3 linked regions of the Struthio camelus genome follow. The protein of the gene in region 2 purifies or fractionates together with the protein of the main gene of each other region. This does not show direct contact. Links are inferred from orthologs where the notes say so. Each region holds a gene or a part of one and is shown on either strand. Other genes may lie near its edges.

Region 1 (9,936 bases), on a different chromosome or scaffold from region 2:
CTCACAAGCCAAATACAGAGCTTCTGAAACATCTACGCACAGAGCTGTAGAAAACAAACTGCCAGTGTATAATGTGACTTCGGAGGAAAAGAGGCCAACTGAAACAATGGTGTACCGCCTGCCTGACCAACACCAGAACCATTGACAGGAAGCCCTGGCAGCAGCACTGCGGCCTGGGAGCGCTACATATCCACTGACAGTCATGATCCAGCCAGTCCAGTTTCAAGCACTACAGACAAGGGTTCTGCATATGGGACAAGTTAACTGCTTTTTTTCAGGCAAGTTGCAGCACAACTAGGGACAAAAAGACCATACAGCACTAAAACCATTCTTACAGCTCAGTACTTTCGGGTGGCTCTGAAACAAGACCTGAGTACAATTCCAGGAGCAGGCTGAAGGGCACTAACAACATGTAGGGATCCTGGAGAGATCAGCTGGGTTATCTCATGCTCGCTTAACAATGAAAAAAGTTTTTCCTTAAATGCTACATGTCTATAAAGACAGGGATGCACACCAGAACAGGACTCTATCAGATAAAGAGCAGGAAAATGACAATCACTGCATAGCCCTTGTTACTCACTGGTGTAAGTTTGTCCAGGTCACGGATTCTGCATCTCTGCCACTGACGCAGAAACACTAGAGCTGGCCCCAACCAGATATATGAGCTGGCAGAACCAACCAGATTATATGAGGGTTTAGTTGATTCACTTGCAGCTTCTTGCAAACCCAGCTATAGTCCTTCCAGGACCAGCACAGTGGAGCAGTCACTTGGCAAGCGACAATCGAACTAGTAAGTCCAGAGAGAAAAGCACACGCTCTGCATGGCTTTCTCAAGTTCAGACATCGCAAAAGCTCTACCTTGCACAAAGCGTGACAAAAACGCCTCAGGGCACTTCCGTAGCACTGTGTTGAGATAGCAGGCTCTTTCCAAAACAGATTGCTGATGTAACCTTGCTAAAGTGTTTCTCCATGAGCCAACTGAAAAGTCATTTGGAAATAATTCCCTTCTAGATGGAGATTAAGCCTATGAATTTCAACTCCAATGAAACGAAAACTCTGAACTTCTGAAAAGCATGTAGAGCACACAGACAGAACCTTACTTGGCCGCTGTAATCTTACATTACATCCTAGTGTTGAAAGGAGTCATTAGAAAAGCCAAGAACTTGCATCCAAGAAAACCTACTTCAACCCAATTCGCTGGTGATGGTTCAGCTTGTGTTCATTTTTTCTTAGATCTAGAATAATATTAAAAAAAAATTCAAGTATTAAAAGTTTTATGGTAAGATTTCTACAGTACAAAGATGACGCAAGTGAAGAACGTGCAACAAAACAGCTACCTCACAGACCAACTAAAACATTTTAATGGCAGCCTGGTCAACAGCTGACAGCGTAAGTCAAAATGCACGCGGCACTGTCTGATAAAGCCTGACTTCAACAGGCCATTCGTCTGTGTGACAAAATCCATGTTGTTTTCTGTGAAGTCTGTAAGCATCTTACTCTGGAAGGTATAATGCGTTCACTCTGTGCAATAACTTTATTTTTTTAAAGCGCTTTCATCAAAAACTAGATGTAATTGCTATCACAGTACCACTCTGAGACAGGCAGCTGGACAGAAGAAGTGATACTGCAGTGTGAACTGAGGACCCAAAGACAGCATATGACATACACTCACCCTCTAAAGTCTTAATTCCTTCCTCTACAAACTTCCTAGCAGCAGCAGGACTGCAAAGAGACCAATTTGCAATCAGAAACAGTAAGAATCTCGTAACACTGAATAGAACATTAGAATTCATTATAATCCTCTAGCTTCTTCAAGACCAAGACGAAAGTCACTTCTGATGCTTGCCGTACACTTGGCACACATATCTGTAGTCTGTACTTTCAGTTAGCAGAGATGGGTATCCAAGGCTTGGGCTGCACATTTTTAGTATTGATACAACTATATAGTGCTATACAATTGTTTAAAGAAAAAAGAAAGAAAAAAACACCCTCACCAAATAAGGAATATTGCTTTAGCCAACAACACTGGGATCTAATCGCATGCATGATAAGGACTACTTTAAACATAATCAGTCTTTGAGCCAAATTGTAGCCACAGCAACAGGATTGTATTTGAACCAGCACTTAAGAAATGAGGCTCCGGCCTGCAGCCTACAGTACAGCAAAGCAGTCCAAACTCCAGTTTGGCTGGAGAGTTTGTCATTAGCACCATACTTAAGTGAACGGTTGCCCTTTCTTCCCCAAAAGCAGGTGCAAAGAGCGAGCAAGCGGGAGAAAGGGGGGCAAAGAGAAAGCTTTACCCGATGCCAGTAACTCGGGTCAGAAAGTTGATAGATGCACTTGTATCATCTTGACGAATCTGGAAAAATGAAAGAACACAGACCAAACCCTTCTGCACTCCACTTGCAATAAAGACAAAAAACTTGAGAAGATAATACTGCCCATTCAGATTCTGTTTTGGAGGCTTACTATAAATCAAAGCAAAGCAGAACGAAGAGTAATATTGTGCACCATGGCAACGCCATAGATACCAAGCCTGAAAACCCTCTGCCCTAACTACCTATGCTAAGGTAAACAGCACATTTAAAACTCAAAACTCCTCTGAGAAATGGAAGTCTGGATCCGGAAGACTGTGAAGACGTTCATATGCTGATGATATTATCCAAAATTTTTTCAGGAACAGGTAGTTTTGAGGCTTCAGCTGAGCTTCTTGTTCCCCAATTTCTACTCCCCATAAATTCCCTATCCACCATTCTCAGGTTTGACATCAGTTTCGCCAAAGATAATCCCCAAAGTTTCACAAAGTAAATAGGCTACTTTGCAAAGTGCAAAGAAAAGCAACTATTGTGAAGTATAGTGCACAGGAAAGAAGCCCACCTTTTCCAATTTGCGTAGTTTTCCAGTGGATAAAAACTCATCTATCTTCTCAGCTATTTTAGCACCTACTCCATCCTAAATATTGGAAGAAGAAGGGGTGGGGAGAACAAGAAGTTAACTTCCAAATCATTTATAGCCACTATAGCTAAGAAAAAAAAAAACACCCAACAATAGAAGTTACAACACAGAATTTAGAGTCCAGTAAGAATTAGGAGGTCATTGAGATCATGAAGTAGTGCAGTACTCCATGGTAAAACGCAAGCTGCATCAACCATCATAAATGAAGGGCTGTATTAAAAGTCTCCTGAAAGCAATTGTTTGAAACCAGGCTTTGACTCTTACAACTAAAGGCCCAAAGGTTAGCAGGGCAGTAACAGAATAAAGGGGAATTTTTCCCCAACGGCAGCCTTTTACAAGTAGGGCTGCAGCCAGATGGACCGGGTGCCTGCAGTTCCGGCCATGAAACCTCTACAGCACTCCCCACTGCAGCCAACCCCACGCCCACCTCTGAGCCCTGACCCAGACATCACTGGAAAGGGGAAGGGCAGCAGAGCTGTCACAGGCAGGGTTGATCCCGTGCTGCTCCTGCCCCTTCCAGGAGCCCCTGGCATCATAGCCCCTGCCAACCTGAGGCCCTACCACCATGGTACAGGCACCTACCAGCTTCTTGGCCTCAGCCCCACTCTGGATCTTGCTGGGATACCGGGAAATCACAGAGGCTGCTTTTCTGCAAAACAGCACCAGTCAGCGACTGAACCAGGCAGCAGCACTGCCACCTCCGTCGGGGGGAGCAGTGCCCCCCTCCGACGCGACAGGGGGGCGCAGGTGAGTGGGCCGGATCCCGGGAACAGGCAGTGAGGTGGGGGGGGGGGGAGCGGGCCCCGGCGCGGGGAAGGCCCCGGCGCGGGGGCGGGCCGCGATACCTGTATGCGTTGTACTTGTGAATAGCACGGTTCACGTTCCGCTCGTAGTTCGCCAGCTCTACAGGGGAAGACACCGTTAGAGCAAGCCAACCCCGCCGTAGTCCCGTACGCCCCGGTCATCACCCACCGGTGAGAAAGTCCGTGATGCCCTCGTTGGGGCTCTCCTGCGGGGCCTTCCGCTTGCTCATCCCGGACGCTCGCGGACCCGGCCGCGGGAGACCAGAGCGGCCGGCGGGGGGAGAACCGGATACCGCAACGCGGCGCTTCCGGCAGTGACCTCAGCAAAGCACGGCCGCCTTCAATGCGCATGCGTACTCCTGCCCCAGGGCGGAGCGTCGCCAGTGACGTCAGAAACCGTGGCCCCTGCTGCTCGCCGCCCGCCTCGGCGCGGCACCAGCCAGAGACGCGTGCGCACTGCAGCCCGCCGTGACCGCCCGAGCTCCACGGTTGCTCGTACTGCTGCGGCAACCGGCCGCGCTCCCGCCCCTTCTCGGTGCTCCCCGGCCGACGGCACAGCGGGTTTCTGCCCGTTGGTGCCGCCTCGTGTCTCGACAGCGGTCTGTGCAGCCTCCGTGCGTTCGGGACTATGTGTGAGTACCGGGAAGCAGCAACACGGTCACGGCAACTACTCGTGCGGGGAAATCCGCTGCTCGCCTCTCTTGATTACAAGGGGGAAAAACTGGGTGAGCGGCTCACGCATGCGCACTGCAGCACCGCTGTCCCTGCTACCTGCGCTTCGTCACAACGCGGGGCTGTAGCCAGGCGGCGTACGCATGCGCAGTGAGCTCTCGCCGTGGTCGGTGCCGCTCTCCTAGCAACCGGTTAAAGCCGCTATCAATACCGCGCATGCGCAATCGGGCGCAGTGCGCCGGGCTGCAGCCAGCCGGCTCGCTGGAGGGCGCTCTTCGAGGTAGCGGCCCCGCTGCCGCTCACCCCGCCGCTGGCGCGCTCTGAGGCGGCGCATGCGCGGTGCCCAGGAGCAGCATGGCGGCGAGCAGAGCCGCGCTTACCCTCGGAAGCGGCGGGGGCGGGCCGCCGGTCCCGGTGAAGCGAGCGCGTCCCTTCGGGTGGCCGCGGGCCCTGGGATGTTTCCTGCCCGCCAGGACCGTCGCTGCGTGGAGGCGGAGAGCAGAGGGGCTCCACAGCAGGAGCGCGGGTTTGACTTTCTTTTTCCCGTGCCTCGCCTTTCGGGCCCCGGTTCCTCCCCAGCGCGGGCCGAGGCGTGCGCTCGCCCCCGCGGATACAGCCTGGGGGTGCGGGGAGGCTGGCAGAGCCCGGTGCGGGAACGTGGCAGAGAGGTGGGGGCGTCCCTGGAGTGGCTACGAGTGCCGGGATTTCTCCTGCCCACCTGAAGGCATGGGTGGAGGGGAGGAAAGGGTGGGGGGTTTCAGGGGCCTGGCAGTGCTCTGCTCGATGAGTGCACACGGTAGGGTGTACCTGGAATGAGTACTTGACTCTTTAAATCTTGGTTTTAGGGTTGAGGTTCCTCCCCAAAGCAGGCTTGTGTGTGTGCCCTCGCTGATGTAGATGTAGATGGCCTGGAGGTGTGGGGAGGCAGGCCGGCCCACGAGCAGGATTTTTGCATGGTGTCCCAGGGAGGATAGCTCCTGTGTACCTCGTGTGCCCAAGGTTGTCGGTAAGTGACAAGATGACAACAAGTGTCTGTCAGTTACAGAGCTGCTTCTTGGTCATTCCCCTTACTAAAGAAAAATGAATTTACGGATTCTCTTTCACATGTAGAGACAAACAATATACCTTTCCTCAGGTCTAGCTGGGGTTTCACAATGCACCTGCGATAACACGTACTTATTGTCAGAGAGACGTTAGAACAGTTTCCTGTAGAGAATATAGAAAAGGTATTATCCTACATGGAGGATGCTGTGGTGGGCAGAGCTACAGAAGAAGAGGCGTGAGAGTGAGGTATCAGAGCCTTAAGTATGACTGGATAGGGCATGATTTAAGGTTAATTTGTGTACAGGGCACAATTAGTGCAACCCCAGTGTTGTGGGAACAGTTCAGCCCTAGGTTTCTGAGGAGTGAAGTCTCACGCATGTACAGCAGCTAAATTAATTATTTATTTAAATAACAGTATAACAAAGTAACAGCTCGAGCTGGGTGCATCCAGGGAGGCACCCAGAACAAAAGAATTCTTAAGTAATTTTCCTTTTTACAGTTTTATTTCCCCACCTGCCAGTGAAAGTCTCTTCCAATCTTCTTCAGTGGTCTCTTTCCCTCTGACTGGTTCATGTCTACATCCCAGGATGGTTGCCAGATGGTTGCTATGTTCCTGCTCTACGGTACCCTATCTTATCCGAAGGTCAGCCGTTATCTCTGTTCATTCTGGTCTGTATCCTTGAGGGCTGGTTCTAGCTGATGTTGCAGTGGCGTCGTCAGCAACGTTCTTTGGGTTACAGTTCAGTCCTGCGGCCTGCAGGTTTCACCTACTTTAGACACTTAGGCTAAGCAAGAATCAGACTTCTGCTCTGCTGAGGCAAAGTTGGCTACAATTCCCTTCTCTAACACCCAGGATCGATATACAGGTACTGTAAACTGGGGAAATAAGAAGCTGACAGAAGAAAGGTTAAAACTGTAAAGCTTTAATAAAGGAAATAAAGGATCCTTCCCATCAATCCTGAGTGAGAGGGTTGCAGTTCTTATAGCAGTGTATCCATCACTTTTCTGGTAACAGCAGACCGCAATGGGAGTTACTGGAAAGGAGTCAGGAGCAGAGCTGGAACAAGGGCTGTTTTCCCCAACCAGACACAAGCGGCTGTAAGCACGCTTGCCATAAACCAATGAGGACGAGGCCCACCCCGGGTGAGGACCTTGCCCTGGGCCTTGACTGCAGCCACCCGGTGCACCCCGCCGCCCGAGGACTGCTCCGCCTGCTCGCCGGGGCACCCCGGCCACTGCCGCCACCCCTCGGTGCTGCTGTGCCCCGGTGCTGCACCGCCGCCGGGACACGGGGGGCTCGTGAGGTCCCCACCACCGTCTCCTCCTGCAGGACAGAGGTGCCCAGCGGGGAGGGTACGAAAGGGTCGAGGCAGCCCAACTGGAGGGGCCGGCAGTGCGGGGAGGGACCCTCGCTAGCGGGGTTGCGCATGCGCACTGCGGCAGAGCAACTCCTGCTGCCCTCGGGTGGGAGCAGTTCGGTACTGCAGCCAGCGGAGTCACGCATGCGCATCCGCTACGAGTTGCTCACTGCTGCCCTCGGGTGGTGAAAAGTCGGTATAGTCAGTATAGCACCGGTTTGCTCGCGCATGCGCAGCAGCACCGGTCTGCTCTCCGCTGCCCTCAGGAGACTACAGACCAGTGCTGCAGCAAGGAGATTGACGTATGCACATTGACCCAGCTGTGCTCAGTGCTGCCCTCGGGTGATGACACCCCCAACAGTGCAGCCAGTCGAGGAATGCGTGCGTCCCGGGGCGCATGGGCTCCATCGTGCCCCTCAAGCGATGAAATACCAATACTGCAACAAGCAGCGCTCCTTGCTGCCCTCGGCTGGTCAAAAAGCAGTACTGCAGCCGGAGAGCGGCGCATGCGCTGTTGTTCAGCAGTCCTCGTTGCTGCCCCCGGCTGGCGAAACATCTGTACTGCTGCCGACCAGCCGCGCATGCGCAGTTGTTAGGCAGTGCTCATGACTGCCCTCGGGTGGCGAAATATCGGTACTGCAGCCGAAGCGGGCCGCATGCGCAGTGGTTTCGGCGTGGCTCGTTGGTGCCCTCGGCTGGCGAAACATCGGTACTGCAGCCGAAGCGGGCCGCATGCGCAGTGGTTTCGGCATCGCTCGTGACCGCCCTCGGCTGGCGAAACATCGGTACTGCAGCCGAAGCGGGCCGCATGCGCAGTGGTTTCGGCGTCGCGCGTTGCCGCCCTCGGCTGGCGAAACATCGGTACTGCAGCCGAGGCGGGCCGCATGCGCAGTGGTTTCGGCGTGGCTCGTTGCCGCCCTCGGCTGGCCAGAAATCGGTACTGCAGGCGAAGCGGGGCGCAGGCGCAGTGGTTTCGGCGTGGCTCGTTGCCGCCCTCGGCTGGCGAAACATCGGTACTGCAGCCGAGGCGGGCCGCATGCGCAGTGGTTTCGGCATCGCTCGTGACCGCCCTCGGCTGGCGAAACATCGGTACTGCAGCCGAAGCGGGCCGCATGCGCAGTGGTTTCGGGGTGGCTCGTTGCCGCCCTCCGCTGGCCTGAAATCGGTACTGCAGGCGAAGCGGGGCGCAGGCGCAGTGGTTTCGGCGTGGCTCGTTGCCGCCCTCGGCTGGCCAGAAATCGGTACTGCAGGCGAAGCGGGGCGCAGGCGCAGTGGTTTCGGGGTGGCTCGTTGGTGCCCTCGGCTGGCCAGAAATCGGTACTGCAGCCGAGGCGGGCCGCAGGCGCAGTGGGTTTCGGCATGGCTCGTTGGTGCCCTCGGCTGGCAAAAAATCGGTACTGCAGCCCGAAGAATCGGTACTGCAGGCGAAGCGGGGCGCAGGCGCAGTGGTTTCGGCGTGGCTCGTTGTTGCCCTCGGCTGGCGAAAAATCGGTACTGCAGGCGAAGCGGGGCGCAGGCGCAGTGGTTTCGGCGTGGCTCGTTGGTGCCCTCGGCTGGCCAGAAATCGGTACTGCAGGCGAAGCGGGGCGCAGGCGCAGTGGTTTCGGCGTGGCTCGTTGCCGCCCTCGGCTGGCGAAACATCGGTACTGCAGCCGAGGCGGGCCGCAGGCGCAGTGGTTTCGGCATGGCTCGTTGGTGCCCTCGGCTGGCAAAAAATCGGTACTGCAGCCCGAAGAATCGGTACTGCAGGCGAAGCGGGGCGCATGCGCAGTGGTTTCGGCGTGGCTCGTTGCCGCCCTCGGCTGGCCAGAAATCGGTACTGCAGGCGAAGCGGGCCGCATGCGCAGTGGGTTTCGGCGTCGCGCGTTGCCGCCCTCGGCTGGCGAAACATCGGTACTGCAGCCGAGGCGGGGCGCATGCGCAGTGGTTTCGGCGTGGCTCGTTGGTGCCCTCGGCTGGCCAGAAATCGGTACTGCAGGCGAAGCGGGGCGCATGCGCAGTGGTTTCGGGGTGGCTCGTTGGTGCCCTCGGCTGGCCAGAAATCGGTACTGCAGGCGAAGCGGGGCGCAGGCGCAGTGGTTTCGGCGTCGCGCGTTGCCGCCCTCGGCTGGCGAAACATCGGTACTGCAGCCGAAGCGGGCCGCATGCGCAGTGGGTTTCGGCGTGGCTCGTTGGTGCCCTCGGATGGCCAGAAATCGGTACTGCAGCCGAAGCGGGCCGCATGCGCAGTGGTTTCGGGGTGGCTCGTTGGTGCCCTCGGCTGGCCAGAAATCGGTACTGCAGGCGAAGCGGGGCGCAGGCGCAGTGGTTTCGGTGTGGCTCGTTGCCGCCCTCAGCTGGCGAAACATCGGTACTGCAGCCGAAGCGGGCCGCATGCGCAGTGGTTTCGGCGTCGCGCGTTGCCGCCCTCGGCTGGCGAAACATCGGTACTGCAGCCGAAGCGGGCCGCATGCGCAGTGGGTTTCGGCGTGGCTCGTTGCCGCCCTCGGCTGGCCAGAAATCGGTACTGCAGGCGAAGCGGGGCGCATGCGCAGTGGTTTCGGGGTGGCTCGTTGGTGCCCTCGGCTGGCCAGAAATCGGTACTGCAGGCGAAGCGGGGCGCAGGCGCAGTGGTTTCGGCGTGGCTCGTTGGTGCCCTCAGCTGGCGAAACATCGGTACTGCAGCCGAGGCGGGCCGCAGGCGCAGTGGTTTCGGCGTGGCTCGTTGGTGCCCTCGGCTGGCCAGATATCGGTACTGCAGCCGAAGCGGGCCGCATGCGCAGTGGTTTCGGCGTCGCGCGTTGCCGCCCTCGGCTGGCGAAACATCGGTACTGCAGCCGAGGCGGGCCGCATGCGCAGTGGTTTCGGCGTGGCTCGTTGGTGCCCTCGGCTGGCCAAAATTTGGTACTGCAGCGGTAAGGCGTTCGCATGCGCGCTGGGTTTCCCCTGCTCCCTGCTGCCCCCCGGTGTCGACACGCCAGTTCTGCAGCCGCCACTGCCCTCGCCGGCATACGGAGAATACTGCAGCCAGCCGGCGCGCACCCGCGCAGTGCCGGTCACCGTGTTCGCCCCTACTCCGCCGTGTTTGGGTAACGGGTAAGCGAAGGGGCCGTGCTCCTCGCCCC
Region 2 (9,384 bases):
GACAAGTAATAGTACCTTTAGGTAACGCTCTCTCATACTCCCTACGTACCCTTCGCTCTTGGTAGCTGGAAGCTGCTTCTTCAGAGTTTCTTTATCTTCAGCTTTCAAGATCCCGAAGCCCAAGAGCTGAGCGGCCCCGTACGTCGGGAGGAAGCCCAACTCTGCTCGGCGGCTCACGAAACAGTCCGGGTGGTACCAGTTATCTATCATTCCCAGCTGCGGCTTTTCAGGATGCACCATCTTCTTGGAAATTCGGATCTGGCCCTGAGGCAGGTTAAAGTGACACAAGAGCAATCGTTAGGTTGCCCTAGGAAGAACAAGATGTTAATAAGCTCATCACAAATAAAGTAATTCCTGAACAGCTGCAGAACAGCAATGTTTCCTCTATCTACAGCTGTAACTTTTATTAAAGCCCCGTCACTTAAGCTCCTCTGCTTTCTTGAATATTTCTTCTGGATTGAATTTTTCCATATATACTTCAATTTGAAAGAGATTCTCAACTTTGGTAAAGTTGAGAATCCAGCCTTTTAAGTAGTTTTCTGCTCAATAAACCCCTCCAACAGGTAAACTCCTTGCAGTCTTCACTCACTCAACTCCCTGACTCCCAGTAAAGTTGAACAAGCAAAGCTCACGTGACCAAACTCTAAGCAGGGAACTCCAAAAGCTAGCTTTACGTCCCTAACGCTGAGCATCAGCACTACCAAGATCCAAAGAGCTGTGAACTTCCCGTCTCATCTTACTGCAAAGTACTTTTCAGATTCCGATAACTACTTGTTTTAGGTGTTTTTAGACTCCAGTCCTTCACGCTCCAGTACAGGTATGTCTATTCAGCAGTTGCAATGTTTCTGCGGACAGGAACACACCAGAACCGGTGTTTAGACCTGCACAGGTGAGGGCCGTTCACATCCATCAGTACAGAGAGGCTCAGAATCTCATTTTGCCAATGTTGTTTAAAAGCAGAGCGCTGAGACATGCTCAGCTATAGGGCAGGACACGGTGTTAATGAGCTGCATCACTAGTTTTGTATGCCTGCACCGAGGTAATACAGAAACACTGCACACGAACAGAACTCGTCTTGAGGAGGAGGAGGAAGAGGCTGACACCTTTGACATGCTCCAACAAGCAAAAGGTAGTTTGTGGTGGTCTTCTTGCCACAGAAACGCTGGTGAGCAGCGCTGCAGTCTGGTCCCAGGCCCAAGCAAAACAAAAAACCCAAACAAACAAACAAAACACCCCCATATCAGCAGGTCCAAAACCCAGGCTCCAGCCTGAGGGATGCCTTTATTGCCAGCTGTCCAGGACACAGCTGCTCTTTACACACAGAAGTGCAACTCTGCAAGTGCCTTCCATAGGCAAGGCAGGCAGGAAGCAATTATAAAAGTCACTGTTTGAACTGGGAGCAGCGGGAGAAAAGACAAAAGTCGGAGAACGAGGAAAAGCTCCTCACCTTTTCTATTTTCTGTTCGCAGCCTTTGCAAGTACTTCTGTTAGACTTGGCATATTCTGCAGCAAAGTCATTTAGGCTTTTCTCAGCCTTGCCACCTACTTCCTGGTCCCCTCCTTTTCCTAGAGGGCAAAGGCAAATACAGAGTTTGGCTTTAAAAGGCCTTTTTGTAAAGTTATTATTATTCTCTGTCCCAGATTGTTAGCAGTCTGGATTAATAAATCCCTGTGTTCCAGCAAACCACCTGTCAAGAATGTGAATACAGAGTAAAATAATCAGTCCATGCTCAAAAGCACTTTTAAAGCATGAAGAGTTTAAGCAAGTAGCAATTGCTGAGGGCTGCTCAAAGGATTTTTGAGGACTTTCCAAGGTACCCAGAGCTGACCTCTTTTCTAAGTAGTATGAAATGAGATCTTACTGAAGAATTGACTGTAACAGCAGTCACAAATAGCCATGCTTCAAAACAGAACTCCTCTTACCAAGTGCCAGTTTCCTTTTACTTTAGTATTACTACATTTCAACAGGCAGACATCAATCTAAAACTGCCCAGTATGCTCAGTTTATATAAAGATTGGGTGGATTTAGTCCGCTCTGTACCCAGCTCCTTCCCACTCGCTTCCCTGATTCATTAGTTCGCCGGGCAACAATACGGAAGAGCCACGATAGCCATGTGCTACAGTGAAGGTATCGTTAAAACGACACACTACAAAAGCATTTGTTAACGTTAAGGAACTGAAACCAAAATACACCAGGCATGAAAACAAGAATATCTGTCAATGCATCTGCCAACTGCCTTGTTTTTCCCTTGCTGGTTTCAGAGGCTAGACCATATTGCCAGCTTCCTAGTCTGCGGTGCGCCGTCACCATGGCAATTCTGCCCACCTCACTTCCTGAAGGGACAGGGTAATCACCTAACTGTAATCTGTCAATAGCTTGACAACAGAAAGCACGCTTCCTGTTGAACCTCTGAACACCTGCTTGGCCTCATCACAACACCACCTCTGCTTACCTCCTCCAGGTCCTCCAGTTTCAATGGCTTTCTTGATTTTCTCCTGATCTTCCCATCGGAGCTCAGGGAAGCCATCGATGTCCGTATGGGACACAATTCGAGCCCGCTTCCAGAAGCAGCTGTAGTGATGCCAGTGAGGGACTTTGCCATCAAACATGGGCGACTAGGAAGAAAGTAAAATTAGGCCAAGATGAAGCCAGTCAGACAGCATCATGGGGAGGGTGAGGGGGGGGGAAGGGAGATAAAAATTGAAATATCTGGGTAAACACAAGTAATTTTTTTTTTCCAATTAAAAAGATATCTGCAATTTAGGACAAAGCCTAGGAAGAAAATCCAACGTGACAGACGAGGTGCCTGGGGAGAGGACTCAAAGGGGATACATGCAGAAAGAGAGTCTACCCAGCTTAAGCAGTTTGTCACCCTATTGTTTAGCCCTTCCACATTACTCGAAAAAAAAAAAGGTTGTAGCCTCAGCAGGGCTATACCAACCCTGAGCAGACAAGGAGAGGTTTCTTCTCAATGAGAATCAGGCCATCGGCAGGGATGAGCAATCGAAACAAAGACAGTGGATAAGCCAAGCGCTGTTTTCCGGGGGATTTATCCACTACAGCCTCCTGCCTAGGGAGCTGCAGGAGGCAGAGGCAAAACTTCAGAGCAACATTACAGTCCAAAGAAGTTCTGCATCAGGACAGAACCACAACCTAACTCCTTCCCCAAAGAGCAAATCCAGAGCACCCTGCCTTGTACCAGCCTCGCCGGGGAAGCGCGCTGCTCGGTCATGACTCAGACACATCAAGTACCAACCCGACATCGTTCCGGTTACCAATCAGACAAAATAACGGCTTAGCGGTTTGGCTCCGAGGGATGTACACAAACAATGGCTGTATTAATAACACACAGTGCTGTACTATTATTTTTATTACTAAAGATACAGAATTAATGAACTAGGAAAGCCTTCTGCGTACCACTTACGGACAGGAGAACCAAACGCAACAGCAAAGCTTTGCCCACGAGCAGGACGGAGGAGGAAAGGGCTTCTGAGGATCACAGCATGGCACTAGGAGAGCCAGGAGCCCTGGATGACCACCTAACCTCCCGCCAAAACCGTGAAAGGGCATTCACGTTTCCAGCTGCCGGGCTCCTCCCGTGAGCAGGGATTTGGACGGCACAGTAACCTCAGGGCACAGCAGCCCCGTGGGAGTTGCTCTCGGTGTGCTGGGCAGCCTCACGCACCCCCCGTGACACCACAGCTTGGCCATCCCTTAGCTGCAGAAAAGGCACCCAGCATTTTTGTGGTAGACCCCTCGTGGCACCAGAGTCAAGCCACAGCCTTTTCCCCCCATGAAGGCTTTGGGGGGGGGAGGGGGGGGGTAAGGCACAGGGGTGCACAGGAGGGGGTAGAGCTTACAGACCCTTGGGGACAACCTCGCGAGCGGTGGGGAGCCCTCCCCTACCGCCGAGCGCCTGGAGCACAACTGCACTCCGCCTGGGAAACAAAACCTCCAGGCGAGCCCGACCTTGTTTACTCAGCTTCTCCCAGCGCACCTATCTCCAGACCACAGTTTCCTAAACAAGCTTCGGGGAAAAAAGGGGAGCCAGGAGTGCTTTCTCGTCACACGTGCAGATAACACAAATTGCTAAGTGCCAGCTGGAAGCAGAAGCTGGACAAGAGCTGAGGCTGCGGCACCGGGTGCCAGCAACCCCGCCAAGCGCCGGGCCCCCCGGCGTGGCTCAGGGCTCCCTGGGGGGGAAAGCCCCCAAAGGCGAGGACGGCTGCAGCAGGAGGGGGCCGCGGCGGGAGCTGCCGCCTGCCTCGGGTTTCTTCCGCGGCAGCAGGAGCGCAAGGCGCTGACGGAGGGGCCGAGAGGGGCTTCCCGGGGGGCGGGAAGAGGGGCAGCACGGTCCGAGGAGCGCTGCTGGCCCAGAGCAGGCAGAGGGAGCCGCGGCAGAAGGGACCACATGAAACCAGCAGTTTTGGGTTTTTTTTTTTTTTGGGGGGGGGGGGGACAACGACTTGCAAGCAGGCGGTTAGGACGGGTGGTTTCGGGTGGGGAGGGGGGTGGGCGCCACGGCTGCTGACGCTGCTCTTTCCCCTTTTCTCCCTGTTTTTCTTCCTCCGGCCCGCCGCGCACGCCCCCGGCGCTGGGGGGGGGGGGGGAAGCTGGGCGCGCCGCCGCCTGCCCCCAAAAGGGGGGCGGGGAAAGGGTGGGGGGTTTTTGGTTTATTTTTTGTGTGTTTATTTTTATCTCCTTCCGCAGGCGCGGTGCGCAGCGCGGGCAGCCCCCGCGAGCCGCGCAAGTCGCCGCACTCATCCTCCCTCCCTCCCTCCCTCCCTCCCCCCGATAAATCCGGGGCGGAGAGAGGCTCAGCCGCCGCCGCCCCGCGGCCCCGGCCCCGCCACGCGGTACCTGCACCATGAGGGCGAGGCGCAGCGAGTCCTTGGCGATGCTCTCGCCGCACTTCTTGCAGGAGGCGCGGCCGCTCTTGGCGTACTCCGCCCGGTACAGCTTCTCCGCCGGCTCCGCCATCGCCCCCGCCGACACGACCCGCGCCCGTCCGCCCGTCCCTCCGTCCGTCCGCCCGTCCCTCCGCCCGCCGGGTGCGCTAGCCGAGCGCCGAGCGCCCCTCCCCGCCTCCGCCGCCTAGTCGGATCCACCGCTCGGGCGTCGACTCGGCGCGCCTGGTGGCGCCTCGAACGTTCCGCTTTGCTACATTGTATCAATGGGGGCGGGGCGGGGGGGCGGCGGGTCACGTGGCGGCGGCGGGGAAGGGGGAGGGGGCGAGTGGGAGTGGGCGGGTGCGTGTGGGGGGGGTGTGTGTGACTGTGCATGGGGGTGTGCATGTGGGGGGGGTGTGTGCATGTGTAGGGGGTGTGCATGTGGGGGGGTGTGCGTGTGTGTGTGACAGTGCATGGGGGTGCGTGTGGGGGTGTGCGTGCATGTGGGACTGTGCATGGGGGTGCGTGCGTGTGGGGGAGGTGTGTGCATGTGTGGGGGTGTGCGTGCGTGGGGAGTGTGTGTGTGGCGGGGTGCATGTGTGTGCGGAGTGTGCATGAGTGAGTGTGCGTAGGGGTGTGCACGCGTGTGGGGGGGTTGCCTGCATGCAGGGAGTGTGCACGCGTGAGTGTTGCGCGTGTTGTTTGCGCGTGCGAGCGTGTGCATGTGTGGGGGGGGTGCGCCTGTGTCTGTGTGAGCGGGCATGTGTCGTGTGTGCGAGTTGGGTGTGCTGTGTGCGCGTGTGTAGGGGGCGTGCATGTGCGAGCGTGTTGTGTGTGCATGCGTGTGTGTGGGGGGGTGTGCACGTGTCAGCGTGTGTGCGAGTGTGTGGTGTGCTTGCCTGTGTGTGTGGGGGGGGGTGCGGGTGAGCCCCCCGCCCGGGAGCGCTTTTGGGGCTGCACCCATGGGACCGGGGGCGGTGGGGGGGCCCGGGCTGCCCCTGCGCTGGCCTGGGGAGCGGTGGTGCCTGAGCGGCCGAGGACGAGCTGCACCTCGCGGCTGCACCTCGCGGCGGGCCAACAGGATTTAGCTGCTTCTGTGACCTCTCCTCTGGAAAGAGCCCCCCCCCCCCCAACCGGGCTTGCCCCAAACTTGGGGCAACGCGCTGGTTGCCCCCCTGGCAGTTCATGCTCTAGGCGACGAGGCGGGAAACGCCTCGAGGCTGAACCCATGGGTCCGGCCGATGGTCCTGTGCCTGGAGGATGAGTCACCACGACGCTTCACGGGGGGGGGGTGGGGGACGGGAGCACCCCGGGGGGACAGGAGCACCCCGGGGGGACGGGAGCACCTGGGGGGATGGGAGCACCCCGGGGGTACAGGAGCACCTGGGGGGGACGGGAGCACCTGGGGGGACGGGAGCACCCCAGGGGTACAGGAGCACCTGGGGGGGACGGGAGCACCCGGGGGGGGACGGGAGCACCCCGGGGGGACAGGGGCACCCAGGGGGACAGGAGCACCCAGAGGGACAGGAGCACCTGGGGGGAACGGGAGCACCCCGGGGGTACAGGAGCACCTGGGGGGGGACAGGAGCACCCAGAGGGACAGGAGCACCCCGGGGGGACAGGAGCACCCCGGGTGCTGCAGCCCAGCACAGGGCGCCGGTGGGACTCACCGGGGGGGCCGAGCGCGAGGAGGGAGAGGCAGAGCACCGGCCGAGGGGCTGCCGAACCGTCTGGTGGCCCTCTGCCGTTCTCCTCGTGAGCCCTCCGGTTGCGCCCGGACGCCCGGCGGAGCTGGTGCCTCTCACCGGCGGCCGCGCGGTCCTGCAAGAGACGTCCCGGCCGGGGACCGCCTGCTTTCCTCCCTGGTAACCGAAGGCAGGACGATAAGCGATAGACTTGTAGCTGGTGAGTCGAACTCAAACATGGTGCACGGTCCTTCCTCGAAGAAGACACGATATCATAACGCGTTAGGGTTTAAGGTCGAAACAAAACCGCCTGGCGCGGTCCCTACGGTTCGCAGAAGATGCTGATGAGGTGGCTTCGAGGCCTCCGCGTAAAAGCAAAAGTCCCCCTCAGGTATGCGCCCCCCAGCCCCCAGTGACGACCCCGACAGTGGCAGACCCTGGCCCGGGCTGGCCTGTCCGTAACCCTCACCCGCCCCTCGCCGCCGCCCCGCCATCCCGAATAACCAAGGTGAGGAGGTGTCCGCCGGCCGCTCTGCAGACAGCGAATCTGAGAAGAGGGGGGTCACAGCGAGGACTCGCGCCCCCCGTTAAACCCTCCTGTCGCCGGGACGGGCCGTCCCCCCCGCGCAGGCGAGAGGAGCGGCGCGCGGCCCCCGCTCTGCCCCTCCGGCAGGCTGGCGGCCCCCTGGCAGCAGCAGCACCAGGGCTGACGGGTTGAACGGCAGCGCTGCGGTGCCGGGCCCTGACCACGTGCCGGTCGCGGCGGGCGGCTCTGCGCCCCTCGGGGACAGGGCAGAGCGGGCAAGGCCTAGCCGAGGGCGGCGAGGACGTGCGGCGGCGCGGCGGGCGCCCGTACGGGGCTCGGCAGCCCGAGGAGGAGGCAGCGGGACTCGCCGGCGGCGAGGAGAGGGCCGGCAGAGCGGTCGCTGGCTGCTGCAAGCGCCGCGAGCTCCCCGGCGGTCGCAGGTGGCGGGTTGAGACGAGCGACGCGTACGCGTGGGGCGCGCTACCGTGGGACGTGGTGGAGGCTAACGTCTGGCGCGGGCTGGGGAAGGCGGCATTAGGCATACCCGCAGCAGCAAGGACCTCCGCTGAAGGACAGCGCCTGTGGCTCAGGAAGATCTTGAGTTACCAATCTTGGCATCCTGAGAAAATCTCCCAAGGGGGTATCGCTCCGTATCTGCTTCAACTCTTCTCTAGGCGCCTGCTGGCGGCCACCGGTGGAAAGAGGCTGCTGAGCCGGATGGGTTATTGCTCCGACCTGACAGGACCGTTGCGTCCTTGCGACCGGGCTGCGCGGGCCGGCAATCATGGAGGGGCTGATCCCCACCCGCCTCGCCTTGTGCAGGGAGCTTTCTGGCCATGCGGGCAGCTCTGGAGGTTGTCAATTGGCCGCGTGGCCGCTTCCCTCCCCCCGGCTGCAAAAACCCCTTCCTTCTGGTGAAAGAGCCGCTCCGTCCAGATCGGACCCTGCCGTGAAAAGGGGCTTCATAGGTGGTGGGAGAGCTTGTGTTTAGCAGGTATCCGGGAGCCAAATACTGGCCAGGTGATTTCAGTCCCAGACAGGAGCTTGCCCAGGTCCCTGGGGATAACGGTACAGATCCTGAAGAAGGCTCCAAAGGGCGCTTTGGTTTAGCTAAGCGTTGCCTTTCCATCTCTTCTGGCAACATCCCGGGAGGCAATATCCTCTCATGTCGGCAGAGGGCATTGGTACTGTATCTCCAGCGGACAGAGGGAGAGGAGAGCGCTGAAGTTATTGCAAACCCGCGACAAGTATTTTTCATGAGTTTTACAGCGATTCTTGAATGCGGGTTCAAGGAAAGCAGTATGTTTAGTCCCACGTGGGCTTCAGACAGCTCACAGGTGTGAGTCGCAGCCGGACCTCCGCAAGCCTGTACGGTCAGATTTTAATGTGCCCTCCTCATTGCGTACGCTCCCTCTCCAAGGATTTCGTACGCTTGCTGTGAACATAGGCAGCGTTTGCCTTCCCAGTCAGCCCTCCGCCAAGGCACGGGCTCGCGCCGTGCTGGGCATGGCAGTTGTGGTACAGATGTGCGCTGAGCACACACGCTGCCCCGCTTCCAGGGAAGGAGGAAAACCAAAATCTCTGTAATACAGTAGATGGTGCTGCACGCACACAGTCAGGCTCACACGCTTACCACACTAGAAGCTTAAACATTTCAAATTACTTTTTGCAGAGGTTCTTGAACCACATGCAAACGTTCAACATTCGGCAAACGTACTGCTGCCCAGCTCTGTCAGGCTTTTCCGAGAGAAATGCCCATTACCCACAAAGGAGGGTTCACCGGCAAGAGCCATCCCAAGACAAGCCCTCGGGCCATTCAGCTCTTGCAGGGGCCGCCTGCCCGGAGCAGATGTAGGAACAGGCAAGCGAGCGGTGCAAACGCCCCCAGATATTCCCCAGCCTCCCGAGAGCTGCGGCCCAGGGATTTCCTGAGCTGGAGCTGGAGTTCCCGCATACCATCGTCCAGAGGGGAATTTTTCTTCCATGAATTTGTCCAGTTCCCCTCAAAATACCCTTCAGTTTATACGGTATTTATTTACGGGGTTCCAGCAAAAGAGAAATAACTACCTGGTGGTGTTGCCTGCTGCAGCGGCCGTTTTCACTTCTTGGGAAAGACAGCAGTGTCTGACAGCCAAAGCGCTGTTCCGCAACCTGCGCTCTAGAGGCCAGCGGGGGTCCATAACATATCATAAAATGGTCTGGAAAAACAGCCCCAGCCATTTGCAGGCACGCAAGCATGAAAACATGCAATGGAAACGACTGTAACAAATGTCTGTTCAAAGT
Region 3 (9,488 bases), on a different chromosome or scaffold from region 2:
GGAAACCACATCCATCAGAAAGCAGTTCCATTTTTAGCATCTCACTCTGACTGCAACCAAAATTAGCTGTTTCATTATTTTGCCTCAGATGAACAACACATTACTACCACGCTGCCCTTGGGCCTGTGTCACCCCTGTTTCAGCTCTTTCCTAACGTTTTTCGAGCTTTGTTTATGCGGTGTTACCTTCTTGGTGAACTCGTCGTTTTTTGCGCCCAGATCCCACAGCCTGAGGGTGTCGACAGGCTCCGGCCGGGCTGCTGCAGCCCCACGGCAAAGGCCAGCAAACACACTGCCTGCTCTAGGGCACTGTGGAGTTCCTCCCTCTGCAGCTCACTGTTGCAAACCCTGACGTAGGGTCCTGTTAATACTATTTTTTTTTTAAACATCTTACTGTCTTTGAAAAGCTGCTGCTCTTGCTGCATGTTTGGTGGATAACCAAGTGCAGGCCAGCTTATTAAACTGGTACATATGTCATTGCATGACCTGTTCAGCGGTTGGACAGCTGCTCACAGGGGAGCAAAATAGGTTTTCCTGGCAAGCACTAAGCTTTCAGCATGTCACTTGAAAAAAAAAAAAACAGAATTTACTGGAGCTCAAGATGCAGCTCTAGTTCCCAGCTTCTAATCTGCAGGTACAAAAACCAGCAGGTGAGGCTTATTGTCCACAATACGCAGCTGTCAGATGGTGCAGCATCAGGAGGAGCCGGTGCGGGAGCAGGGCCTGAAACGTTCGCTCTTGGACATGGAGTGTTAATGGCACAGCAGCCCGAGCCGGCTGAGGCCAGGTGCTTTCTGTCCCTTTGGGAAGCATGCTGTTCCCCGAAGGTCTCCCTAGCCCTCATGAGCATTTAGCTAATGACAAAGTGTTTAGCTGACGACCATGCAAGGCAGCTGGCCCCAGCGCAATCGCTGGCTTCTGCTTGTTGCGCAGAGCAAGGCAGCGGTGTCTCCAGGAGTTTGGGAAAGCAGCTTTAGCAAACCTGCCTTCGTCCAGCACAGCACCACCACCACATCCTCCGCTCTTGTGGCTTATTAGTTGTGTTCGCTGCTTCCCCTCAGCTGGGTGTAGACACTGTTGCTGGAGGGCAGCAGTCTCTGGGAAACAGGGAAATCTTTCAGGCCTGGCAACAGCCCTCCAGGCACCAGTGGGGCTGAGCACTGCTCCTCCCTCACCGGGGCCGTGGCACCTGCTTCGCTCCCACCCGCCCCGCAACCAACCACGACAGACCTGTCCCCTTCAGCGTGCAGCAGGACTGAGCCACGACGACTCTGCTGTTTGTTTTTATTAGAGGCAGGCGACGCTGCCCTTTGCTGCAGTGTCTTGGGAGACAAGCCGGAACGCTAAGGCCGTGCCCTGCAGGCTAACACCCCCGTCGCAGCACGCTGGGTCTGGCGGACAGCTCAGGTGCGAGGCCTTGTGAAACGCGACTATTGTTGTCCCCAGTCACTGGCTGCTCTTCACACATCCACAGAAACTTAAAAGGAAAGGCCCAGCCCCTTGTCCTGGGCAGCTGCCTTTAGAACAGTTCGAGGAAATGTCTCATCCTCCCAGAGCTTCAGGCACGGGACAGTAATGTGCGTAACAACCTGGGCGACGGCCCTTCCCTCACAGTGCAGGTGGGAGAAGGCCTTGGCCTGCCATTCATCTCCTTTTTACAAACTTCTTTGTCACAGCATTGGGGTTCAGGCGCCTCCTGCCAGCACCGAGGGCAGCGTCTCGGATTTGCAGATTGGCTGCACGGCTGTAGATGTCGTTTTCTGCAAAGGGAGACACCCCTGCAATGTAGTCGGGGTCAAAGACGTTGGTCTTTTGCCTAGCTTTCCGGGACAGCCGCTGCTGTGGGAAGGGCTGGTCTTCTACCAAGTGAGGGTTGTTCGCGTGCTTCCCACCCTGCGGAGCCGGCAGCGGATACTGCGAAGAGAGCAGAAGTTGTTACACTCACTTCAGGGACAACTCTCCCTCAGAGGGGCTTCAACATTCGACAAGTGGCCTAGCCTCAAGCAAAGAACTTGGTGAAAGAAGCCTGAAAGCCTCTGGGTTATGCGGAAGGTCTAGAGGACGACTGCAGCTCTGCCTTGACTCTCGCCCATCAGTGGGTCCCACCCGCTCACCGGCAGCGGCAAGGAAAGCCCTTGTTCCAGCAGCAGCCGGCTGGCGCGTCGCGCACGGCTACTCACCCTGAGCCCTCGTGGGTTCAGCACCTTGGGGTTGCGGGAGAAATGCATGTGGAGGCTCCCGTCGTCACTCACGCTCACTGCGACCTTCTTCAGAGTCTTGTTACCACAGTGAGGACAGAAAACCTTGGTCATGTCGGAAGTTGTCCTGCAGGACAGTGACAGAGGTATTCCACAGCCCAGGGAGCAGTAAACCCAGGCTTAGCCCACACGAGCAGGTTCATCCAGCCACGTGAGCCAGGTCAAAGCCCTGAGCCACTTTAAAAGGCCAGAGGAGCCCTGAAGGGCTCCTGCTAGGGAGGAGCAGCACTTCTCTGCGCACACAGCACTTACTTGAAGCAGCCGTGGCAGCGGAGGATGTGGCTCCTGGCCTGGCGGATCAGCATGCCATTCACTGCCAGCACGTGGAGCCCCATCTGCAGCAGCACGTTCTGCAATGAGGAGGGAGAAACAGGGCACCATGAGGTGGGACTGCCAAACTGTTTAGCCCAGGGCTGACTGTCCAGGTGGCAAGAGGCCACCAGAAGCAAAGCAAACAGGCTCTGCAGAGGCTTCTGCTGTAGACAAAACCAGCTGTTTTTAACAAAAAGAGAGCTGTCACGAAGCTGCTCTCATCCTGTTCCAGGGATTCAGCAGTGCACTCCTCTGTGGCAAGTGTCAGCGTGCTGCTTTAGCCAGCCCAGGGGTGTGAGCAATCCAGGAATCTGCTCCTCAGGCCACCGGTGCCAGCCCCCTTCAACCACCCATCTCAGCAGGGGAGGTGCAGCACCAACAGGGCATCGGCCGAGCTCGAGGCTGCAGCCTGCCCCTGCACGGCAGCCACCAGCACCCACCTGCATGGCGAAGTCAGTGGTGACGCAGCCGACCTGCACGCCAGCGGGAGTGGTGTCACAGTGCCCCGTGTCCTGCTGAACCTGCTTAATGTTGCTGGGCGTTATCCAGCCTTCGTCGTCGCTCTCTTCCTCGTCTTCCTCTTCCTCAGCGCTGTCCCCGTTCTCTGGACTCTGGTGCTCCTCAGCCGCCTCTGGGCTAACGGAGACGGCGTGAGCGTTCTGGGGGGGCAGAGACAACTCAGCCAAGGCCCACAGCGCGCCCCCAGCACCAGCCTGCTTGAGGAGAGCTGTCTGGCAGAGGATTTGGGAAAAGCCAGCTGGAAAAGGGGAGAGAAAGCACAGAGAGGGGCACGGACGCTCCGAGTCTCACCAGCAGCTCCTGCAAGTCCTCCTCGATGCTGGGCAGGGGGTTTCTCCAGAAGAGGAAGGAGCTGAACTCGGGGCTCTCAGCCGTGCTCCTTTCGGGGCTGGGCAGACGCTGGCCTTTTCTCAGGTGCTTGTGCTGCAGCGCAACACAGGACAGGGTGTCCCTCGCCTGCAGCCTGCCCAGGGACTCTGCAGGGCTTCGTCCCTGTCCCCTGGAGGGTCCCGGCCCCTGCCCGCACCTCGGAGGGCTGCATCCCTCTCCCCAGCCCTCACCCCAGAGGAACGTGTCCCCTGCCCGTACCTCGAAGGACTACATCCCTGTCCCCAGCCCTCACCCCAGAGGGTCGTGTCGCCATCCCTTACCTTGGAGGGCAGGTGGAAGCCAGCGAGGTGCAGGGGGGCCTCGGGGTGCTGCGGGGTCGAGCTGAGCTGCACCTGGGGAGGGAGCGTGGCGGGTTGGCAGGGCTAGAGCTTGCCACGGCAGCGGGGCCCAGCCCCACAGGCAGCCCTGTGTCTGTCCCTACCTTGTCCTCGGGCTCCCGCCGGAGCCGGTCAGAGCCGACGATCTCCGCCTCCAGCTGGTAGGTGAGGGCGAGCACTTGGAGGTCAGTGGCCGAGAGGCTTGGGTAGTCGCCGGTCTTCTTGGCGAAGTCGGTCACTGCGGAGAGACGGCCGGGGTGGCGGCGGGGGCCGGGCCGGGCCAGGGGGGGACCGGGTCAGGTCAGAACCAGGCTGGGGCAGTGGGAGGAGGTAGGGACTGGGACCAGGTTGGGAGACTGGTCAGGGAGGGGTGGGAGACACTGGGATCCAGGCTGGGGGTGGGGGGGAGGCAAATCAGGGCTGAGACACTGGGGCCAGGGCTGGGGGGTGGTGGGGGGGAACGAGAAACAAAGGGACCGCAGACGGGGAAGGGGGGGGCGACACCAGGGCCGGGGCTCACCGAGCCGCACGTAGTCGGGCCGCGGGCGGCGGAAGTGCAGCTCGTAGGGCAGCGCGGCCAGGCGCCGCCGCGTCGGCTTGTCGCGGATCTCAGCCACCACCTCGGGCACGGTGTACACGCTCTGCGCCATCTCCTGCCGGCGCAGCGCCGTCAGTCCCGCTCCGCCCCGCTCCCCCCGGCCCGGCCCGGCCCCGCCGCCCGCCCCGCTCCCCCCGGCCCGGCCCGGCCCCGCCCGGCCCCGCCGCCCGCCCCGCTCCCCCCGGCCCGGCCCGGCCCGGCCCCGCCGCCCGCCCCGCTCCCCCCGGCCCGGCCCGGCCCGGCCCCGCCGCCCGCCCCGCTCCCCCCGGCCCGGCCCGGCCCCGCCGCCCGCCCCGCTCCCCCCGGCCCGGCCCGGCCCCGCCGCCCGCCCCGCTCCCCCCGGCCCGGCCCGGCCCGGCCCGGCCCCGCCGCCCGCCCCGCTCCCCCCGGCCCGGCCCGGCCCCGCCCGGCCCCGCCGCCCGCCCCGCTCCCCCCGGCCCGGCCCGGCCCCGCCGCCCGCTCCCCGCGGCCCGACCCCGCCGCCCGCCCGGCCCCGCCGCCCCGCTCCCCCCGGCCCGGCCCGGCCCCGCCGCCCGCCCCGCTCCCCCCGGCCCGGCCCGGCCCCGCCGCCCGCCCCGCTCCCCCCGGCCCGGCCCGGCCCGGCCCCGCCGCCCCGCTCCCCCCGGCCCGGCCCGGCCCCGCCGCCCGCCCCGCTCCCCCCAGCCCGGCCCGGCCCCGCCGCCCGCCCCGCTCCCCCCGGCCCGGCCCGGCCCGGCCCCGCCGCCCCGCTCCCCCCGGCCCGGCCCGGCCCCGCCGCCCGCCCCGCTCCCCCCGGCCCGGCCCCGCCGCCCGCCCGGTACCTGCAGCGGCGCCGCGCGCAGAAAGGCGCCGGCGTCGGCCACGACGTGCGCCACGCGCGCCATGACAGCCGCCGCCGCCGCTACTGACCCCTACGGCGCCCCGTACCGCGCCGCGTCGCGCCGCCCCCTGGGAGCTGTAGTCCGCGCGGGGCACGCCGGGAGCCGCCGGCCCGCGTGACCCTCTTCCGGGCCGCGCGGGTCAGGTGACGAGCGCGGGTCACATGACGGCGGTGCCTAGAGCCGGAAGTGGGAGCGCAGCGGCCGCCGGTAACGGGGGTGGCGGGACGGCACCGCGGGCGGAGGGGGGGGGGAAAGACGCGTCCGCCCGGCGCTGCCGCCGCGCAGCTCGGCCCGGCGCTGCCCGCGGCGCTCCGCCGAGCGTGGCTCGGCTCGGGGCGGCCCGCTCCGGTGCTCTCCCGGCCCGGTGCCCCGGTGCCGCGGCCGCTGGCGGGCAGGGCCGCGCGCTGCGCTGCGCCCCGGGCCGCGGGGAGGGGCCCGGCCGCGCGTCCGGCCTCCCCGGGGGGCCGGTCGGGGCTCACCGGCGGGGCCCCGGTGCCCGCGGAGGCGGCTGAGGGTGCCGGTACCGGTACCGGAGCCGGTGCCGCCCCGCGGTGCAGCGGGGCCAGCGGTGTCCGGGGGAAGCGCGCGGGGAAAAGCTCCCGACGTGCTTCAGGGAGGGCGCGAGAGGAGACGGGGGGCGCCGGGGCCGAGCGGAGGGGAGCTGGACGCGGAAGGGAGACGGGAGCGAGGGGCGGTGCACGAGCCGGGAAGGAGAAAGTGGGGGAAAGAGTCGAGATTAAAACAAAAAAAAAAAAAAAAGGGGGGGGGAGAGAAAGGGAAAAAGAAGAAGGAGGCATAGCCCAAACGGGCGGCGGGTTTGTCGTCGCCATATGTGGGCGATGGCCTGGGGGCTCCGGCCGTCGGCCCTGCGCGCTCCGGCGTGGCGACAGCACCGGCTGGCGAGGGGCGATCCCTGCGCGGGAGGTGAAACTGCAAGCGGTTAACGCTGCCAGATTGCCCTCCTGAACTCTGGCGGAGTTCAGCTCGGGGCGAGCTGGCGCCGGGACGGGCTGGCGTGGGGTGGGGGGGGGGGGAGAGCAGAAACAGGGCCTGTGTTTATGGGGGGAGGAATGGGGATCCAGATTCCTGCTAGAGGGGAATGAGCCCTGGGTAATAGTAACTTTGAGGGCCAGACCGCTAATATTAATGTAAGAAATGCCCTACAGGGCAGGCTCGCAGGTCCCTCTAGCCCCGTATCTGGTTGCAGGCGGTGGCTGTTTGGGAAGGGCACATGAGTCTGGCTGGTTTTTGTGGTCCTTGCGAACGGCACTAATGAAATAAGCTGGTAATGCAGAGGTGGGGACTCGCAGCAAACACGAGGAATAACGATATCCTAAGGGAAGGACAGGGTGATCTGTGGGCAGAGTAATTGGAGTAGGAATAACTGTAATAATAGCAAATGCAATTAGCTTCATAAAAAGACCTCCTTCCACAAGTAAATTCTTATCCGTTGGGAGTGAGGGGGAAGGGACAGGCATGCATTAGCAAGCCTTGACCCACCAATCTGACAGAGCCAAGAAAGCGGCAAGTCTGATATCAGAGCTTTCCCAGGCAGAAACGGGGACTGTGCAAGGCCCTGGCGAGGCCTCAGCTGGCGTACGGTGTGCCGTTCTGGTTTGCCGTGCTCAGGAAGGCGATTTCCTGCTGGGGTGGCACACAGAAGGGGATGGAGAGTGACGACTCGGTTCTACTACAAAAGGAGGTTTAAAAGGGACTGGTCAGGCTTTGAGGTGGAGCCTGCTAAGGTAGAGCAAGGGCCTGGGTTTGGTGGCCTGGCCGACTCCGCTAGCCCCAAGGGGTTGTGGGTTGTGCTGTGGTGGTTTCTCCAGCAGGAAGGCAACGCTTGGAGAGCCTTTGCAACGTGGAGGGGGCGATGGCTGGGCGCGGAGTGGACGGGGAAGGAAAGACTCCTGTGCAGCAGAGAAGCTGGCAGAGAGCTGGAAGTGGAAATGTGCTGTCTTTCCCCTTTTTGTACTTTTTCCTGAGGGCTCGTGATCATCAGGGTGGAGGTAGGATGGAGAGGCTGGCGGGGACTCGAATCCAGAGCTGGTCAGGAGGCGTGCTTTCGGCTTCGCAGGGTTGGGAGGGCGATCGGGTTTGACTCAGTCTGAGCTCTCACTGCTGCCCCAGGCAACAGAATTGAGACTCTTGTGTTCACATCTGCCCGGGGAATAACCAGCGAGCGCCTCCATCCGTCCTGTTGTGTCGGGTGTTTATGTGGGCAGGCCCCTGTGGTCTGTGACCTTGGAATTTACTGCAGGCGCCGCTTCTCTGCCACAGGATTGTGTTAGTCTGGATTCAGCAGGTCCCCTCTAGCTCTTCTGCCTGTGAAGTGCGTAAAGGATGACTGCTGTCTGCAGGCTCAGGAAGATGGTGGGAATCAATAGCCTACTCTCTTGGGCCCAAACCAAACAACTCGTGCTTGTGCATGCTGCATGACTGTACTTCTGCTTTGTTGTCGGTTGTTTCGGCAGAGGCGCAGCCACGTGTTCTGCTGCGTCCCTGGCCATCCCAAGTCCCCTTCCTGCCCAGCCACGCGCTGCCCGCTCCCAGCCCCGGGCAGGCGTCTCAGAGGCGAGGTGCGCAGGTGGTGCAGGGGCAGGGTGAAGCGCTGCGGCTGCAGTGACAGTCATTGTGCCCGAGAAAGTGAGGAAGTGGTGAGTGCTTGAGAAGCTGGAGGCCCCAGTTTCCTGTGCTGCAGCGTGATCCTTTGCAGCAGTTGAGAGCAGCTGTGGTTCCCATCGCTTAGCTGCTGCGCTGCAGGGTTTTAGGTTTTTTTTTTCTGTGAAATTTTGCCACCAGGAAATGACCTGGCCTGTCCTCAAGGGATGTGGCTACTTTCCCATAGTGTGACCGGAGCTTCCTCTCTTCTACCGCAGTGTTCCTGACTTGTTCCTTCCAAAGGATGCATTGGCTGAGGCCGCGCAGACTGCTTGTGGACCCGTATTGTTACTCAGCAGCACGGGGTGGACGTCATATCTTCCTAGTGCTTTGGAGACTGCTCTGTCTTCGTGCTGGTCGTGATCAGCAATGACCTTTGGATCGTGGGGAGCTAGAGCTGCTCCAATGCAGTGCCCAGAGAGCACCTGTGGGGTGCTGTCCCCAAGGGCTCCCCCTGGCTGGCCCGGCTCTCTTGAGGCCTCGTGGGTGCTGTTGAGAGAGGGGTTTCTCTCTGCAGGGCACAGCTTTACTTCCATCTGTGGTACACAGTTAACGTTTAACAGGAGCGAGAGGCAACGTGTGTTTATTAGCTATTTGCATGTGTGCCAAGGGTGTCCCAGGCGGTCTGCGAGGCCTTCTGAGCTGGAGTCGGTGTGGCGCTGACGTGGCAGCAAAGCCTTTGGATGCGCCCGGGAGGAACTGGCCCCCTCCCGCTGCCCTGTGAGCAACAGGCAGCACCGAGGGCATCTGCAAACCTTCTCAGTGCGGCACCTCCCAGCATGGGCCGCCGCTGTTCATCGCTGAACCCCGTGCCGTCTGTGTCGCTCATCCTAATACGTGGGCCACAGCGAGGCCCGGAGCAGCCCTGACCCTGGGGCCCCACGCAGCCTCGACTTCCTCCCTTCGATGGCGGAGGTGCTGAGGTGTCTCATGTCTCTCTGCTTTCCAGCCCGTCGGTGATGCCATGGCCTCTGCGAGTTCCAGCAGGGCCAGGGCAGGGCTGCCCTGCGAGAAGTCCCAGCTCTCCGTGAAAGGTGGGTCCTGCTGCATCGCTGGAGGTGGGGCCGGGAGCCCAGCGTCCGGGAATGTGGATTTTCGAGTGCATCTGGTCCTGGATTCCTCCGTGCTGGCCTCGGCAGCCAGCAGCTCCTGAAGGGAGGAGATGTTCCCGGGCCTGTGCTCTCCCTGGGTGTGGGAGACCTTCCTGGGGAGGGACTGGGTGCTGGGGAAAGCCAGCACCACCTCTGCAGTCGGATGCTCCATCCTGATGGAGAAATAGTGAGCTTCCTGGGGTCCGAGGAACCGGCAGCCCTTATCAGCACGTGGATCACAGCCCTGGGCACGTGGCAGCTGGGGCAGGGTCTCCGACCTTGGAAGAGGTTTATCTAGGGAAATGGCATTCCAGCTGCCCATCCTGGCCTCATGCTGAGGGTAGTGCCGGAGCCACCGAGGGTGACAGAGGAAGGACACCGTGATCTTGGCCTTCTTCCACGTGGAAGCTCCAGAGCCCTCTCTGGGTGTCCCTGGCGCTGGAAGCCGTTGAGAAGCAGAGTGGCTGTCTGCTGAGCAACACC

What was found.
Region 1: the proteins of PARP1 (region 2) and POLB purify together in Homo sapiens (affinity purification with mass spectrometry; 4 studies listed by BioGRID and IntAct, counting the BioPlex papers as one, with this or other methods). This does not show direct contact. The link is inferred for Struthio camelus from reciprocal best matches to the Homo sapiens genes PARP1 and POLB.
Region 3: the proteins of PARP1 (region 2) and WWP2 purify together in Homo sapiens (affinity purification with western blotting; 3 studies listed by BioGRID, with this or other methods). This does not show direct contact. The link is inferred for Struthio camelus from reciprocal best matches to the Homo sapiens genes PARP1 and WWP2.

The regions. Positions count from the first base shown.
Region 1 is NC_090968.1:7,953,265-7,963,200, forward strand, and holds the start of POLB (DNA polymerase beta), read right to left. Parts: upstream 4,118-9,936; 5' UTR 3,989-4,117; coding exon 3,928-3,988; intron 3,859-3,927; coding exon 3,801-3,858; intron 3,605-3,800; coding exon 3,538-3,604; intron 2,953-3,537; coding exon 2,878-2,952; intron 2,360-2,877; coding exon 2,301-2,359; intron 1,723-2,300; coding exon 1,673-1,722; intron 1,236-1,672; coding exon 1,184-1,235; intron 1-1,183. Other genes in the region: uncharacterized protein, read left to right, coding at 8,596-9,907.
Region 2 is NC_090944.1:125,658,273-125,667,656, reverse strand, and holds the start of PARP1 (poly [ADP-ribose] polymerase 1), read right to left. Parts: upstream 5,177-9,384; 5' UTR 4,982-5,176; coding exon 4,862-4,981; intron 2,617-4,861; coding exon 2,454-2,616; intron 1,567-2,453; coding exon 1,448-1,566; intron 265-1,447; coding exon 50-264; intron 1-49. UniProt on the Homo sapiens protein: Poly-ADP-ribosyltransferase that mediates poly-ADP-ribosylation of proteins and plays a key role in DNA repair.
Region 3 is NC_090951.1:1,474,231-1,483,718, reverse strand, and holds the start of WWP2 (NEDD4-like E3 ubiquitin-protein ligase WWP2), read left to right. Parts: upstream 1-5,371; 5' UTR 5,372-5,460; intron 5,461-6,030; exon of another isoform or gene 6,031-6,177; intron 6,178-8,863; 5' UTR 8,864-8,878; coding exon 8,879-8,948; intron 8,949-9,488. Other genes in the region: RNA-binding protein NOB1, read right to left, coding at 1,644-1,913, 2,180-2,324, 2,510-2,607, 3,010-3,228, 3,380-3,511, 3,739-3,810, 3,900-4,033, 4,316-4,448 and 1 more. UniProt on the Homo sapiens protein: E3 ubiquitin-protein ligase which accepts ubiquitin from an E2 ubiquitin-conjugating enzyme in the form of a thioester and then directly transfers the ubiquitin to targeted substrates.